Lonchura striata: one gene and its partner. The protein of the gene in region 2 interacts with the protein of the main gene of each other region in a pairwise test. Links are inferred from orthologs where the notes say so. Each region holds a gene or a part of one and is shown on either strand. Other genes may lie near its edges.

Region 1 (7,922 bases), on a different chromosome or scaffold from region 2:
CCAAGGGACATGACTTATCCATGGCTCATGGCTACTCAATGACAGAGGTGGCAAGGGCCTACCACCCTGACAGCCCCTGGATTCTCCAGTCTCCACCCTTCTGGCTCAAAGGAAGTTTTTACAGTGAAAAAAAAATTAAGTAATGAACAAAACACACAGGTTTTATTATTCCTGGCTGCCAGTCAGGACCTTGTGTTATAGAAAAGAATAATAATTTAAAAAGTCAAAATTTGTGGTCTTCATGTTTGTCTGACTTTTGCTCTGGAAGCCTGTTCAGTTCTTCAACATCGATAATTACCCCTACATCCAGTCAAGTCACAGAATGTCCTCAGTAATTAATCCAAGACACAGGCAGCTAAGCAGCAATTTGGAGCAGCATCCTCCTCTCAAGGAATCCCAGCTCTCAAAGCACAACTGCCAGAGCACAGACACCCAAGAACCAGCCAAGGACCAGCGAGGGCTCACAGACCAATCTCACATCAATATCCAGATGTTTTTCCAAGCCACTAATGAGCAGAACTGTTGTGATAAGCACAGAACGGTGTGTGAGGCAGACAATTCAGCCACTACTGGTCTCTCAGTGGGTACAAGCACAGCTGGCTTGTGCTGGATGAGTCCCCAGGGACGCCGATCCCCAGAGCCAACAGGGGATTTGCTCCACACCCACCACTGCGTTTCCTCTGAAGAGAGAGTGGCTTCCCACAAACAAAGGCAGATCTCCAAGAGGATGGAACCTGGGATGGGAACACTCTGTCCACAGAGGCTGAGGTCAAACCTCTGTGTTTGTCACCAAATCAGGGACTCCAGTTGAGCCACAAGGCACATGCAGGTGTGTTCCTGCCTCTGTTCCTGCCGGACACGGGGGCACGGGACCAAGGTGCTCTGGGTCACCTGGCTGCTCCAGGATCCAGGCCCATGTCCATCACCACACTGATTTTGTGCTGCACTGAAAACACAGCTGGCAGCTGCTGCCAGCCCAATGCAAACCTCACTTCAGGAGCAGTGGGACAATGCTCCCAAGGACCCGTGTTCCTTTCGGGAAGTGCAATGGTGTCATCAGGCTGCTGCACACTCTCACGACTGCCAGGACAGCCTGTTCCTCTGACACAGACCACAGCTTTGTTCTGGGAATTGTTTTGGACTCCTGCAACAGATCTGAACATGCCTCAGCCTCTGGGTTCAGCACATGGATGCAGAGGGTGCTGCCACATCTTACCCCCTGCACACACAGCAAGGACGTTCTGCTGCCAAGGACCAGCTCACAGAGCTCACCTGCCCACCAGGGACAGCACCTGAGATCACGGGAGGAGTCACTGCTCCGTGCCCTCCACACACCTTGGATCAAACCCCTGTTGTTTCACAGTCAGTCCCCTTCTCAAGTCCTTAGAAATGATGAGGAGAAATCAGGAAATTTTACTCAGGAGAGACCCAAGACCAAGCAGTTGAACAAACCTAAGAAATTCACAGAAAAATTCAAAAAATACAAGAAGGGGGGAACACAAGCTTTGGGGAAACGAGAATCTTCACTGAGAAGCAGCAGCCCAAGACCTAAGGCAGCCACTTGCCATGAAACTGGAGCCTGTGTGCCTTTTGTAAACAGCCATAGCCCTGACTCTGCCTTTTCACTGCTTTTTTGGAACCGTTCCATTTCTGTAAAGTTTTGAAGCCTTAAAAATTAAGCCATTCTGAGGGTATGGAATCACTGGAGATGTTTTCCACTAGCCCTCTCCAACTGCATTGTAAACAATCACTTCCTGCTCCTGTTGTGTAATGATTCAAAGACAAAAACAAGCCATATTTACTTTCTCCAACAGAGTAATTCCAGCCCTGACCCAAAGCAACTGCAGGGGCTGCCAGGCGTCCTCCTCCTTCTCTCCTCCTGGCTCAGCTCTGCAGCCCAGTCAGCTGAGAGAGCAAAAGGGCAGAGGAAAGTACGGAGAAACAAGGAGCACTTGCAGTTGCCGGCACCAAACTCCCTCACCCCCTCTGTCCCTCCCGGGCTATTTTAATCCTGCTTTCTTTCAACTACTCTGAGCCTCAGATTTTGTTTTCCCTCTGGCTCAAAGAAAGTCTGAGCAATCCACAAAGGCAAACCAGTCTACTCCTAACCATAATAAGCTGATTCTCACCAATTTAACAGTAGGTAGTTACTAAGGGGCCGATTTAGGACTTCACTGGTTTTAATACGTAGCTTAGGAGCACACAGCAGGTTCCCAGCAAGGATCCCAAGCTCCCAGGCTTCAGCTGGTTCTTGTTTGTGCATGTTCCCTTGGCTCGGTCCTGTGGCAGGGGAGGACTGGGTAAGCATTCAAGGCCAGAAGGGTTGTGCCAATATAATACCAAATATTTACAGTTTCCAAGAGAGCAGAAGGGGCTGGATCAGCAGCTTTCAGCAGGCAAAAACTCCAATTTTAAAACTCATGTAGGAAACGCCCTCACCTGCGTTTGGACAGTCTCTGGCACAATATGAGGGTTTTTTATGGCATAAAAGTACCGATTTCAGCATTATACAGCGAGTAAAGTTCAACTGCTACCCCCTCCCCAGAAATTTAACCTGCCAGAAGCACACACCTCTCCCTGCGCCAGCCGGCAAAGGTCAAGGGAAAACAGCAGTTGGTGTTTCCTCGGATTCCGCTGTCGGGTCTGGAGATAGAAATCCGGGACTTTCTACAGTCACCTCCTCACCTTTTGAGCCTCCCCACCACGGACCTCTGACAAAGAGGCGGGGAGGATGCGAGCACTGACTCTGTGTCTCACAACCATCACAGAGGGCGTGCGACATCCTGGAACAACAACCGCCCCAACGCCGACCAGATGGGGAGCGCGGAAGGCGATTTTTGGGGAGGTCTTTGTGTTCTGACAGTCGAAAGGGACACGTGGCCATCACCGTCCCCCCGGGCGTTCCACGGCCCTTTGCGGCCGCCGCCGCGCCCCGGTGACCCCGGTCCCCGGGAGAAGCGGGGACGGCCCGGGGACAGCGCTGCGCTCGGCCGGGCGCGGCGCGGGATGACATCACCGCGCGGCGGCTGCGGCACCGCCGCCCCCGGCCGGGCCCCGCTGCTCCCGCGGCCGCCCCGGCGGGACCCGCGGCGGCCGAGCCCCGGCCCGGGCGGGGCCGCCCCGCCGGGCAGCACGGCGGGGGCGGCGCAGGGCACATCCGCCCGCCCGTCCCTCCCTCCCGCGCGGCCGCTCCCGGCCGGTCCCGGCTCACCGAAGGTGCGGCGCTGCTTGAAGGGCCGGTCCGAGGGCATTGCGGCGGCACCGGGCGGCTCCGGCACCGGGCGGCTCCGTCTGCGCTGGGGCTGCGGCGGAGCGGCGGTGACGTCACCGCGCACCGCCCTCAGGGGGCGGGGCCTGAGCCCGCCCGCCCCGGGACCGCGGGGCGCGGGGCGCGGGGGGCGCGGGGGGCGCGGGGCGCGGGGGGCGCGGGGGGCGCGGGGCCGCTCCGGGGTTGGGCTGGAACGGGCCCTACAGCCCAGCCCGTGCCGCCCCTGCCATGGCAGGGACACCCTCCACTGTCCCAGGCTGCTCCCAGCCCTGTCCCGCCTGGCCTTGGGCACTGCCAAGGATGGGACAGTCACAGCTTCCCTGGGCACCCTGTGCCAGGACCTCAGCATCATCACAGGGAAAAATTCCTTCCCAATACCAATCGAAATCTCACTTCTTTTGTCTAAAACTATTCCCTCTTGTCCTATTACTATCTGCCCCTTTCTTTTTTACAAGCCGCAACATGGGAGAGAGCAGCTGGTGACACGAGGATGGCCGTGACACGAGCCATGGCAGAGCATCCCCATTTCCCGATGGGACATGGTGCTTTATTCAGAGGTGACCCCAAACACAAGCTTTTTTTCCAGTCCTGATGGAGCAGAGGACCTGAGGGCCTTGCTTAAGGCAGCAGAAGGACACCTGGGCTGGGATTTCCAGAGCTGCTCCACAGACAGAGGTGTCCGTGACTCTGGCCTGCGGTGGCATCTTCTGGACATCTTCACTAAAACATCTTCCGAGTGTCACCACCAGCTTTGGGCAGCAAATGTGGCTGTTGTGAGAAGGGTGGAGAAGGAAGGATTGTGTGGGGATGAAGCCACAACAGCTCAGACCAGATTCCAGCCAACAAACCTGGATGTAAACTACTTTCTCACAGATACTCTGACATTTGTGATTCCCATCTACCCCAATCATCTCTCTGCTAACGAGCCCGTTGTTTTCCCTCCTGCATTCACAGCCATGGCTATGCTGAATATGTTAAAGCCTGCAGCATGACTACAAATAGGGCAGCTATTTCTGGAGCTGATAAATGAATCAAAAACAACTGCAAACAGAGCGTCAGTGTATCACCAGGTCTAATATCCCTCCTCACTGCACGCCACAACAGGAGCTGTATCGTGTGGAGCAATGTCTCATTGCTACAGTGAATTGGCACAAAACAGGAGCAAACACAAAATGTTAAAGGATTAAGTACAACCTTGGTAAAAAAAAATACATGAAAAATGCAGTTTTGAAAGAACTGCTCCGATTATTGCGTCACCAATTTAAACAAATATGTGTTTAATGAGAATTGAAGAAATTCTTGTTTCCTTGCTGAGTTTACCCAAGAAAGAAAACACTTACATGCTCAATATAATGGATTTTCCTTGACCAAGCAGTAGTTAAACAAGCACATACTGGTAAGGAAGTATAAACTCTTCAGATTCACTTCCATAATTAAGATACACGTAAAGATATTAATCTCTGATATAGGTCCTGTTAAAAATACTGAAGGGAAAGCAGGAATGTTGAATCAGACATGGCAAGTGATGACCTTTACAGACTTCATCCTCAGCAATGGGGCTTGTTACTGTTGCTATAAAGTGTGAACCTCTTTTCAATGAGAGGAATGTGAAAGTCTTTCCAATTTCATGATGTGGCCCCTGGTTTTATCCATGCAGACCTCACTGCAGGACTGTGGCCATAATTCCACAGAAAATTATTCAGAAACCTGGAAAGGGAGAAAAAACTCCATTTCATAGGACCTCCGGAGCTTCTCAGCATGTTAGTGTACCTCCAGAAATGGGATATGGATCAAATAGTTTGATTTAATTTATACACTTATTCCTTCAGCCCTCAGCTTCCTGAACAATTCAGCACACATTAATGCCCCTCTTGCCTGGTTTTACTGATGTCCCTGGCCAAACTCCTTATTTAAGGAGGTGCATTTGAGATCCCACCCCCTTCTCCCCAGATCAGTCAAAGGTTTAAGGCACCAGCGAGCTGTCCTGACATGACCTGGAATCGACAAGGATCTTCCCGCATGCCAGCATTCCACAGTGCAGCACCACTAAAAACGAGCACTCCTGGATCTTGTGAAACCACAGCAGTGAGGGAAATCTCCCTGGAGGAATCCTGTAATCCTGGTAAAGGAAGTGTATTTTTGCCAACAGAATTGTGTTGATGCCCGGGCTCCTGCTGGCCAAGGCAGTGTCCAAGCTGCTGCCCCTGCACCCCCAGCTGCTTCTGCTTCTCTTGCAGCTGGTGGGTCCCAGGAGCTGCTGTAGCTCTGCTCACTTTAGCCCAGCCTCTCTTGGTGTGAGATCTTTGCCTTTGTCCTCTAGAGAAGTAACTAAGACAAGATGAAACAAATCACAGACTGGTTTAGGTTGGAAGGGGCCTTAAGTCTCATCCAGTCCCACCCCTGCCCATACCTTCCATTATCCCAGGTTGCTCCAAGCCCTGTCCAACCTGGCCTTGGACACTTCCAGGGATGGGGCAGACACATCTGTGTCCTGTATGTGAAGGACACTGTCAGCCACCTTAGGCAGGGAAGGAGTTACTTGGGAGGGTTCTGGAGCCAACACAAATCCACAGAAGGTGTTCACAAGCTCAGCTTTTACAGTTACCTCCACTCTTGTCAGAGCCTTATCTCAGCACAGAGGTAGCACATCCTTGGGTCTCACATGCTGCCCTTCCCAGCCCAGAGCCATGCCCCAAACTCCCTTTCATTACCTTGTTAATCCATCAGGGTTTGTTTTCCCAACAGCAGATGTTTCCTCAGCCTTCGACAGGGATCCACCAAAACCAAAACTGACTTTTCCAAGACAGCAAACCAGGCCAGCCCCAGCACAGAGCAGCTCCAAGATGCAGATGGCATAGGCTGCTCAAGCTTCCTGTGATCCTGGCTAGGAAAAAGGACTAGAACCATAATGCTAATTTTTCTCTCTTCCTCAGTCTGGCAGTAGTTTTACCATACAAATAACCAGGCCCAGACTCACGAAGCACAGGACCAGAAACTGAGCTCCATCTTTCTTTTTGACCGTTTGTGGTAATGTAGGAAAATGACACCCTCCCCTGACTTTCATACATGGAAATTGCTGACAGCTCTGTGACTCTCTAATGGTCCTAATCCAAATAAACTTGAGTTTAGTTTATTAGTTTAGTTACTATTTAGTTAATTACTTTGTTCCATAGTAAGTAAATGATAGTTTTTGTTCTTCAGCTTGCTTCACCTCTTGCCAGTTTTAAAAAATAAATCTGAATTAATTTTGGGTGCTGGTGTAAAGGTGGCACTACATGGCCTAAGTAAGGCCCTGCCCAGATCGATCTGACAAACTCCTTGACTCCCAACCCAGCTTAAGAGCCTTTCATTCAAATTCCCAAGTATATTTCATGCCAGGCTGCTCTCAATCCTGAGAAAAATCCCCTAACCAACCCTCAATCCTCCAACCAACCAGCACATAGCATGAGTTCAGTCATTTCACTGCAAGTTTTATGATCTCAACACAATAAAAAAGGGCCATGATCTTTTGTTTTGCAATAGGTTATTTATTACAGCTTGTTTTACTTAAAACCAACACTCAATACTCTGTCCCAAGCTACTGTGACACCAAGCTACTGGTAGGACAGCTATCATTAAGGAAGTGTCCAAAAGAATGCAGGACACTACAGATTTTTCACTGTTCAGAGAAGTAGCACTGCCACCTACTTGAGAAAGCAAAAATCCATAAGCAGGTCACCACCTCCAAGGAAATATTTCTCTGGGTTACAAACAACAGAGAGAGATCACTGAGGTCACATTTTTCTTCTGCCTTGCCTCACTGTTCAATTAGCCAGACTTCAGCTTGCTGGAGGTTAATTTTTTTGGGAGGCAGCATACAATTATTGCAGATCAAAGGCATTATGTAAACTGCTGCATATCAGGAGCTGCACCAAAGACCAAGCAGGATTCCAGACCCTATTCCCTGTTTTGATGGAATGGCTTAAACCAGACCTAGTGTAAAGGGAGAAGCAGCTCATGAACAGCAATACCTGAGTCACAGGGGCAGCTGGGACACGCAAAGCACTGATGCTACAGGGCTACAGACCCCAACAGGCATTTCTGACCTTCAGGGTCATGGACACCACCTAGCAGATTATACACAGTCCAAAAATTCATGTCCAGGTCTGAAAATGCACAGAGAAAACATGCAGGGTACCTTGGCTGTTTGAATCCTCCCACACCCACCCTTCGCAGGGCTCTGAAAGCCACAAGTGCCCAACTCAACACCAACATTTTTACCAAAATCTCCACAGCTGCAGTTACCATAGCATTCTCCAGCCCTGCTTTTTTTTTTTTTTTTTTTTTTTTTTTTTCCTGAAGAAAAACTCCACCAAAATAACCCCTTGAGCATTTTGGAGTAACCATGTGGTTTTTGGTTTTTTTTAATCTTTAATGGCATCAATTGAAAAGTACTAAAGGAAAATAGGAGATTAAACTGGCTACTGAGCTGAGACAGTGTGAGATTTCCCATGGGTGCCATCAATGGACTTCCTTAGCCATGAAAATTCTGTCTGGAGTGGAGAGAAAGTGGCAGGAAAACACTACAACACAAGAGCCAATTGTGAGTGAACTGCACATGCCCTTGGGCCAAATCCTTGTTCAGAGAAAGCAACAGACAAACAAAAACAGTCCT
Region 2 (8,287 bases):
CAAGCTGTTAAAACCCAGTGAGGAGACCAGTTTGACAGACACTTGAAAAGCCAGAAACCTACAGAAGGAGCAGCCACGCTCTCACTTCAGTGGTGCAATCCACACACTGACATTCACTTTCTCCTCCCTCCTCCACAACCTGATTATTCTGCCTAGGCTTTCCATTCTTCCCCACCATGTAATAGGCATGGTGTTGTGGGAGACCTCCCATGACAACCTCCCATCCAGAAACGAGTTCAGCCAGTACTGGATGCCAGCACAGGAGGATCCTTGTGGTCAGCAGAGGCTCCACACCAAACAGATTATTTCTGAACTGTACATTCTTACCTTGCCAGGACTTTGCCTCTTGAAAACGAAGAGATTACTTAAGAAGTTGGTCCCAGTCACCCATCCTTCAGCCAAATGATGACAGAGCTCTGGCAGTCCCAGCAGCCGAGGGTGGACGTATCCCCAGCTGCAGTGAAGGCAGAATTTGGGAAGATATTGTTGCATCAGTGTCAGGGTTGAAGACCCTTCTTACGAATACTTGTCTTAATGCTTCCTTCTGTTCCCACCCAGACAGAGCTCTAGAGATGAGGGTCACTTGCCCTCCAAGCAGTGCCCTGCCCAAAGCAGTTCATCTACAGCCCCTCTAGCAGCATCCCAGTGCTCCCACAGCAGCTGATGAGCAGGAATTTCAGTCAATGGTCTGGACCAGTTTCTACGCTACTGCAGGGAGTGCACAGTGCAGAGGCAAATCAAGTGATTCCATTTACTTTTTCTGTGTTTATCTGGTCAACTGCAGCCTCCAAGTGTTCAGCATGAGGTCTAGAAGCAGCCTTGCACCTCACTTCATGTACTCAGTTACTTTGGAGGCCTTGAATTGGTCAGTTCTGTTAGTGTTGCCTAACTGCTAGTCATGAGTACCTGAAGTTTAGAAAGAGCAATTCCTTTTGTGCTTGGGCCTCTTAAAAAAGAATGAATAAAGACAATTGTCCTTTGGCACCAGCTCAGGTGATTTAATCAGGAACTGACATCCAGCACAGCCTGGCAGTGGCGGCAGGAAGGTGTGCCCAGAGAGGCAGGTGTGAGCAGTGAGGCAACACCTCAGCATTTCTCAACCCATAATTAATGCTGCAGTCAGATCATAACTATGCAGGAACAACTGCTGGAACCAGCCTGTTAAATATTCCCTATCAAGTCTCAAAAGACTTCATTAATTCCCACAGAAATGCTGTTTTCCTGCTACTGGAGACCCAAACAAGAGGAATTGCTCCTAAGGCAGCACCTCTAACTTCAGGCAGCAGGGAGTTAAGCAAGCATATCTGGAGGCTGGTATGAAGGCAAAGTACAATAAAATGGCTTGGGCAAGTCAAAAACATCTCACAACCACCTGACTGCACCTGGGTTTCCATCTGCCCTCTGGTCGAGCAGCTCCCAGCTCCCTCCTCCCTTCTCCCCCTCCTCCTGGCCCAAAGGGGCCAATATCCCAAGCACGTGCAGGTAACAACACAGTATCACAGCAAAGTATCACAGCAGAGGAGTCAATTAGTTTCCTACCTCTCATTGTCTAATTCATCAGGTCTTGCCACTAAAATATTAAGAACAGACACTACATTAGTTTCAAGGAATTTGCCATGGGAATGTTTAGCTCTTGGGATTTAAGTAAAGCTTTAATGAGCTGGGGAACACCTGGAAAAGACATTAACTGTAATTACAGGATGGAGAGGCATCACTCCATAACAAATCTTGAGCGTGTACGTGTGACAGCACAGGACTGCAAGAGTCTCCCTGTTGCTCCTTGGTGTTTGTTGGACACTAGAGGCTGCCCACTTCCCTCTCCCCCACTCCCTGCACGCCCCAGCTGCAGAGGAGGCACAGCCTGCAGACTGTAGGCACCAGGGATTTAAATCCTTTGATACTTTCCCACCCAGGCTGGGACTTGAAAGGGATGTACCAGCCACCCTGAGAGATCAAATCAGAGGGATGAGGGAGCTGGACAGACGCTGTCTCCTAAGAAGGAGCCTGAGCCAAGCTTTGAAACTGAGAAAGCTTTAATGTCTTCCCAGGAACTACAGAGAACACGTATTGAAGCAGAAAGCTGGAAGCTGAACTTGCTGGTTAGTCAGGGAACCAGCCCTGGGAACATGCAGACCCTCACACTGCTCCAAACTAACCTGTCCATGCAAAGCCAAGGGACCCCGAGCTGCTTGGAATGGGGGTGTTCATCAGTGTATTAATGTCACAAAGGAGGGACACAACTGCTTTGGTTACTGCAAGCTGGAAACTAACTTCATTACAGCTGCTCAGATGCCTCTTCTCCCAAAGAAATCTCTGATCAACCGCAAGACTGAGACTTTGTCTTCATCCTAAACTGATTATGGATTCTGAGGGGGAATCCAGATGAGTTCCACATATGCTTCCATTTCTCACCCTGGTACTGAATGCTCAGAAAGTGAATCATGGTCTCATGCCTGCACTAGATCACGTACATCCTGTGGTTCAGGATTACAAGACAAATACCAGTGTCACAAGCACAAAAAGAACTTGTGTTTACACAGGTTAGAATACTCCATCTCCAGAAAGAGCATGCCTGCAGTACTCTTGCTGCCTTCTAGACTCTTAAAGCAAAAAGCTGAGGTTTTAACCATGTAACTGCAGGCAGTATAGAGCCTGTAGTTGTGGGGCTGGAAACTGGGCTTGATTTGCTGCTATGAGCTCAAAATGCAACTTACCACCAATTTCTGGCCAGATTTTGTGCTTCCACTGGTCTAGACACACTACTACTATGAGTGTTACAGCAATCAGGAACAGCAAACGAAGGGAAGTCAGAGCAAAGAACCTACAGGGAAGAAACCAATGAGTTGGTACTGGCCAGATCTTTATGAGACAAAAAGGGATAACACAAACCAACCTCAAACCACTCACTCAGGAGGAAAACTCAGCACCTGCTACTCAGTCAGCACGCAGCGTGCCCCGGGGGCAGCTGCCGGGTGACTCGTTTGCCCGTGTCGGTTCTCCCGGGCCAGCCCTGCTGCACAGCTCCTGTCCCAGGCAAGCCGCCCTCCCTCCAGCGCCACAGCAGGCTGAGCTCTCCCGGCTGGTCTGAAACGCTCTCGGGTACACGGAGAGGCCGGGGCTGCAGTGGACCCAGCGCTCCCGGGCCCCTCACGGTCCGCTCCTCCCGGGGACAGCTCCCCGAGCCCCGCCGGCTCAGCCCTGCCGGCCCGGTCCCGATCCCGGTCTCCATCCCGGTGCCGGTCCCTATCCCAGTCCCAGTCCCGGTGCTGGTCCCTATCCCAGTCCCTGTCCCTGTCCCTATCCCGGTCCCGGTCCCTGTCCCTATCCCGATCCCCATCCCGGTGCCGGTCCCGGTGCCAGCCCGCCGCTCACCAGAACAGGCCGTGCACCGCCACCCAGCACAGCGCGCTGCGGCCCGGCCGCTCCCACACCAGCGCGGCCTGTACGGCACCCAGCAGCGCCTCGTAGGGCCCGAGGCGGCCGCGCAGTGCCGCGCTCAGCGCCTGCACCCGCCGCTGCCGCTCCCCGGGCCCGGGCCCCGCCGCCGCCGCCATCGCTCCCTCACGGCGTCAACATCCGCCCGCCCGCCGCGCGCGCACGGCCGCCGCAACCATGGCGGCCCCCAGCAACACGCGGCGACTCCGCTCAGCGCGCCGCCATCTTGGCGCATGCGCGGCCTGCACCTCCTGGCGGGACGCGCCGCGGACAGAGGTGCGCGGCGCTGCCCCGGAAGTGCGCGGTGCGCGCGCGCACTGCCGTTGGCGCCGGCGGGAGACGCGGCGGTACCGGAGTCGGGCGGGGCGCGGAGCGGAGCGGAGCCTCGGCCGCGATGCCGCGGGAGATCATCACCCTGCAGCTGGGCCAGTGCGGCAACCAGAGTGAGCGCGGCACGGCCGCGGCGGGCCCGGGGGAGCGCGCGCCGGGCGGGGTCGGGATGCTGTGGGGGGGGCAGTTAGCGGGGCCTGGCGGGACGGGGCGGGGCTTGGGACGGGTGGGGTGGGGCCAGGCGGGATGGGGCGGGGCCTGCGGACCGGGGCGCTCCGGTCCCGGTCCCGGTCCCGGTCTCGGTCTCGGTCTCGGTCTCGGTCCCGGTCCCGGTCTCGGTCTCGGTCTCGGTCTCGGTCTCGGTCTGTCTAAGCGCTCCTCCCCGCAGTCGGGTTCGAGTTCTGGAAGCAGCTCTGCGCCGAGCACGGCATCAGCCCCGAGGGCATCGTGGAAGAGTTCGCCACCGAGGGCACCGACCGCAAGGACGTTTTCTTTTACCAGGTACGGGCGGCCGCGGAGCGGGCACCGAGTGCTGCCCTGCTCCCTGTGCCCCGGCAGTGCAGCCGGGCTGGCTGCGTCCCTGCCGCCACCGTGCGGGCGGGAGCGGCGGCTCGGCCCCGGTTCCCGCTCCGGGCTCCCGCCTGCGCTCCCGGTGTGTGAGCGGAGCCTGTGCGGGTGGAGCACAAGCACGAGGCTGTGGCTGCCATAGATAGTGGCTTATGTAAGCACCGGAGTTCCTCCCACTCCAGGCTGGCGGTGCTCTGGGCACAGAGACACACAGAGACGCTGCACTGAGCACAGGAGCAGCCTCTCTCTCCCTGCTCCCTCTGGCCAGGCCCGGCCATGTGGGGCTCACCTGCAGCCAGGGGTGGCTCACGCTCTGGCAGGGGAGGTGGCACCGAGCTGCAGCAGCATCGAGATCCTCTTGCTCCCGTTGTAGGCGGATGATGAGCACTACATCCCCCGGGCTGTGCTGCTGGACCTGGAGCCCCGTGTCATCCACTCCATCCTCAACTCCCCTTATGCCAACCTTTACAACCCAGAAAACATCTACCTGTCTGAGCATGGAGGGGGAGCTGGCAACAACTGGGCCAGTGGCTTCTCGCAGGTACCAGCCCTAGAGCTGCTGGGTGAGACTCTTCAGCCCTGGGGCTTTGTCCTGTGTCCATGTGCTGTGTGGCACCCTGGGCACAGCACCACACTGCCAGTCTGACTCGACTCACACTGAGCTTGAGCAGCTCTTCTCCATGTTCTGTGGGAAAGGAGCAAAACCAGTCCTGATCTCTCTTGCAGGGAGAAAAGATCCATGAAGATATTTTTGACATAATAGACAGAGAGGCTGATGGGAGTGACAGTTTGGAAGTAAGTAAACAAGGGATTTGGATCTGGTGGCCCTGCCTGGTGTTTTCCCAGCTAGGTTGCTCTTTGTAAGGTTGAGCTCAGCACTCTAGTGGGCACAGATTAGCTCAGTGAGATTCTGGGACTGAGCACAGAACGTGTAGAGAGGGGATCTAGGAACAGGGGGTCTGTCCATTCCCACTCCATCTGCCACCCTGCCCCAGGAGTTGTTCCACTGTTTGCTTGTGGGGCATTTTCTTTATGCTGTCCATGTGAACATGCACACCCTGTGTGCAGACAGGGCTGCCAGGTGTTCATGTCAGGCTGTGACATGGCAGCAGGGGAAGGGAGAACATCACTGAAACAATGGAGGACATTGAAGTGCCTGATGTGGGAGCTGAGCATGTGGGAGCTGCCCTGGAGTCAGGCAGTGGGAGCTTGGCCTCGGTCAGACTAGGAGGAGGGAGGGGTGTAAGGACCCAGGAAAGGGCTGAGGACATGCAGTTCCATTTCCTGGGATGGACTGGACCCTAGAGGTGACATTGGAGCTATTCCAGTTCTGTTCTGGGTGGGAATCCTGAGCGCTCCCGAGCAGTTGTTGCACTTTGCGGGGTGTGCAGAGATGCAGGTCCCACTGTGTGGGCAGGAGTGGCCTGAGGAGCTGTGGCTGCTGCTGGGGTCTGGAGGAGCTGGGGTCAGTCTGCTGCATCCATGCTCCCAGCTGCTGCACGGAGCTCTGGCCCTGTTGGCAGGTCTCTGCTGGAGGTAGCAGGGGTGACACATTGTCTGCCTGCTCTGGGGCTGAGCTTCACCTTCAGCACCTTCTGCTTCCTTGCAGGGCTTTGTGCTCTGCCACTCCATCGCTGGTGGAACAGGCTCTGGGCTGGGCTCCTACCTCCTGGAGAGGCTGAATGACAGGTGAGCCCAGCCCTGTCCCCTGCCCACAGCCCGTGCCTGGCCCAGCCTGGGCAGCCTGCCTGCAGCAGGAGCTGGAGAGCGCTGACTCAGAGCCACCACCCCCACCAAAACACTGCCTTGTGCAATCCCTGGCACGCTGCCTGCAGAAGGCTGGCTCCTGATACGCCTGGGGACTTCAGAGGCTTTGAAACTGGACTTGTTCTGTCCAAGCTCTGCCTTCCCTCAGCCTCCTTATCAGGCAGCTGCCTGCGGACACCCTGACGGTGCAGGGGAGGGTGGGAGGCTCTGACTGAAGGCTGTGAGCTGCCATCCTGGCCTGTTTCAGCTTGCATCCTCTTGAAAATACTTGTGAGCAGCTGCTTAATCAGCCTGTGGATGGCTCAGCCTCCCTGTAGCTCCTCTGGCAGCCGGCTGCTGTGCTGCTGGGGTAGGCATTGCTGGGACACATTCTCTCCCTCCCTGGGAGCCACTCTGGCTGCAGCTTTGGTGACTCACCCTGTCCTGAGCCCTGGAGACTGCTAAGGCAGCCTGTGGGAGGGGAGAGCATAGCTTGATGGTGTTAACCCTCAAGATGCTGCACTTCTCACTAGGTATCCCAAGAAACTGGTGGAGACCTACTCAGTGTTCCCAAACCAGGATGAGATGAGCGATGTTGTAGTCCAGCCGTACAACTCTCTGCTGACTCTGAAGAGGCTGACCCAGAATGCTGACTGTGTGGTAAGAGGCCTGTGGTGCAGCCAGCCCTGAGGAGACAGCCTTGTCCCCACAGCTCAGAACTGCAGCCCGTCCTGGGCCAGCACCGTGTGCCTGCGAGCCCGGGAGCAGCAATGAACAGACAGACAGATGGGCCAAGCAGATGTGGCTCCAGGGACCCTCACTGGTGCTAACCCCTGCAGAGCTGCCTGGCATATCTGCCTTGGGTCCAAGAGATGTTCCCAAGGCAGTGAGGACTGGCTGTGCTTCCTCTGTGCTGCAGCCCCTGCCTGAATGCAGCACCTGTGTCTTGTGCAGCACCCACGACATCCCCAGCCAGGCAGCGCCTTCAGCCTTTGCTCACGTCTAACCGAGACACTGCTCGTCCCTACAGCTGGTCCCTGCAGCTGGTCCCTGCACGTGGCAGTGCAGGAGCAGTTGCACTGGAGCTGCTGCAACTGGCAGTGCTGGCCCAGGGGTAGAGCTCTTTGGGAGAGCATGGGGAGCACAGCCAGGAGGGAGGGAAGAGGTTCCATTGAGGGTGTCAGTTACGTGCCACACATGAGTCAGCTGGTGGTTTCAAGTGTCTGCCACTTGTGCAGAGGGCTCCATCCAGGGCCTGTGCTGGACCACCTGGGACACACAGCCAGGACTGCCCTTCCTTGCTGCCTCAGGGGCCCTTCACAGAGCCAGGTTTGTCTTGCAGGTGGTTCTGGACAACACAGCCTTGAATCGGATCGCAACAGACCGGCTGCACATTCAGAACCCGTCATTCTCACAGATCAACCAGCTGGTGAGAAGGACTTTCCCTCAGGAGAAACCAGCATGGGGTTTCCCTGCTCTGTTCAGTTTAGTCTGAACCAGCTTCACGGGCTGGGCTCAGGGCTGGGCAGCCTGGAGCTGAGTGAAGGTCCTGTGCCCTTCCAGATGCCCCAGCTTCCCTTGGCATGTCAGCATGAGGCTCTGTGACCCTCTGCTGACCCTGTCCTCTCCCCTAGGTGTCCACCATCATGTCTGCCAGCACCACCACGCTCAGGTATCCCGGGTACATGAACAATGACCTGATCGGGCTGATCGCCTCGCTGATCCCCACGCCCCGGCTGCACTTCCTGATGACAGGCTACACACCACTCACCACGGACCAGTCGGTAAGGCAGCCCCGGGCTCTCCTTCCCACCCCCAAGGGCAGAGAGGCTGTCACACTCACCTTGCAGCATCTGTCAGCCCCGTCTCGCTGTGAGCTGTCACTGCACGTCCCAAACGCCAGGCCCACGTGCTCACACGTGACTGCTGCATGTGCAGTGAATCAGACATGAGCAGGCAGTTGTGCTTGTGCCAGGCTACCTGCTGCATGCATCAGGGTGGCTGTCGAGATCATCAGGGTCAGGACTGGCAAAAGCTACCCTTAGCAGTGATGAGAGCAAGGCCAGGAGAGTGGCCTTGCCAGTGCTGCCACCCCCATGAGCCATCAGCTTTAGCAGACACTAATGCTCATGGTCACTGGTGGTGGACTACAGGTGTCAGCCCATTCTTGAAGCTCAGTCTGTCTGAGAGTGAATTTGCCATCCCTCTA

The links.
Region 1: the proteins of RETREG3 (region 2) and MAP1LC3A interact in binary tests that used the Homo sapiens proteins (3 or more experiments, as listed by UniProt). The link is inferred for Lonchura striata from reciprocal best matches to the Homo sapiens genes RETREG3 and MAP1LC3A.

Annotation. Positions count from the first base shown.
Region 1 is NC_134619.1:13,500,989-13,508,910, forward strand, and holds the start of MAP1LC3A (microtubule-associated protein 1 light chain 3 alpha), read right to left. Parts: upstream 3,337-7,922; 5' UTR 3,252-3,336; coding exon 3,212-3,251; intron 1-3,211. UniProt on the Homo sapiens protein: Ubiquitin-like modifier involved in formation of autophagosomal vacuoles (autophagosomes). While LC3s are involved in elongation of the phagophore membrane, the GABARAP/GATE-16 subfamily is essential for a later stage in autophagosome maturation.
Region 2 is NC_134627.1:6,273,445-6,281,731, reverse strand, and holds the start of RETREG3 (reticulophagy regulator 3), read right to left. Parts: upstream 3,569-8,287; 5' UTR 3,555-3,568; coding exon 3,373-3,554; intron 2,822-3,372; coding exon 2,715-2,821; intron 1,571-2,714; coding exon 1,540-1,570; intron 455-1,539; coding exon 328-454; intron 1-327. Other genes in the region: TUBG1 (tubulin gamma-1 chain), read left to right, coding at 3,830-3,878, 4,154-4,266, 4,706-4,873, 5,059-5,127, 5,942-6,021, 6,612-6,738, 7,421-7,507, 7,713-7,862. UniProt on the Homo sapiens protein: Endoplasmic reticulum (ER)-anchored autophagy regulator which exists in an inactive state under basal conditions but is activated following cellular stress.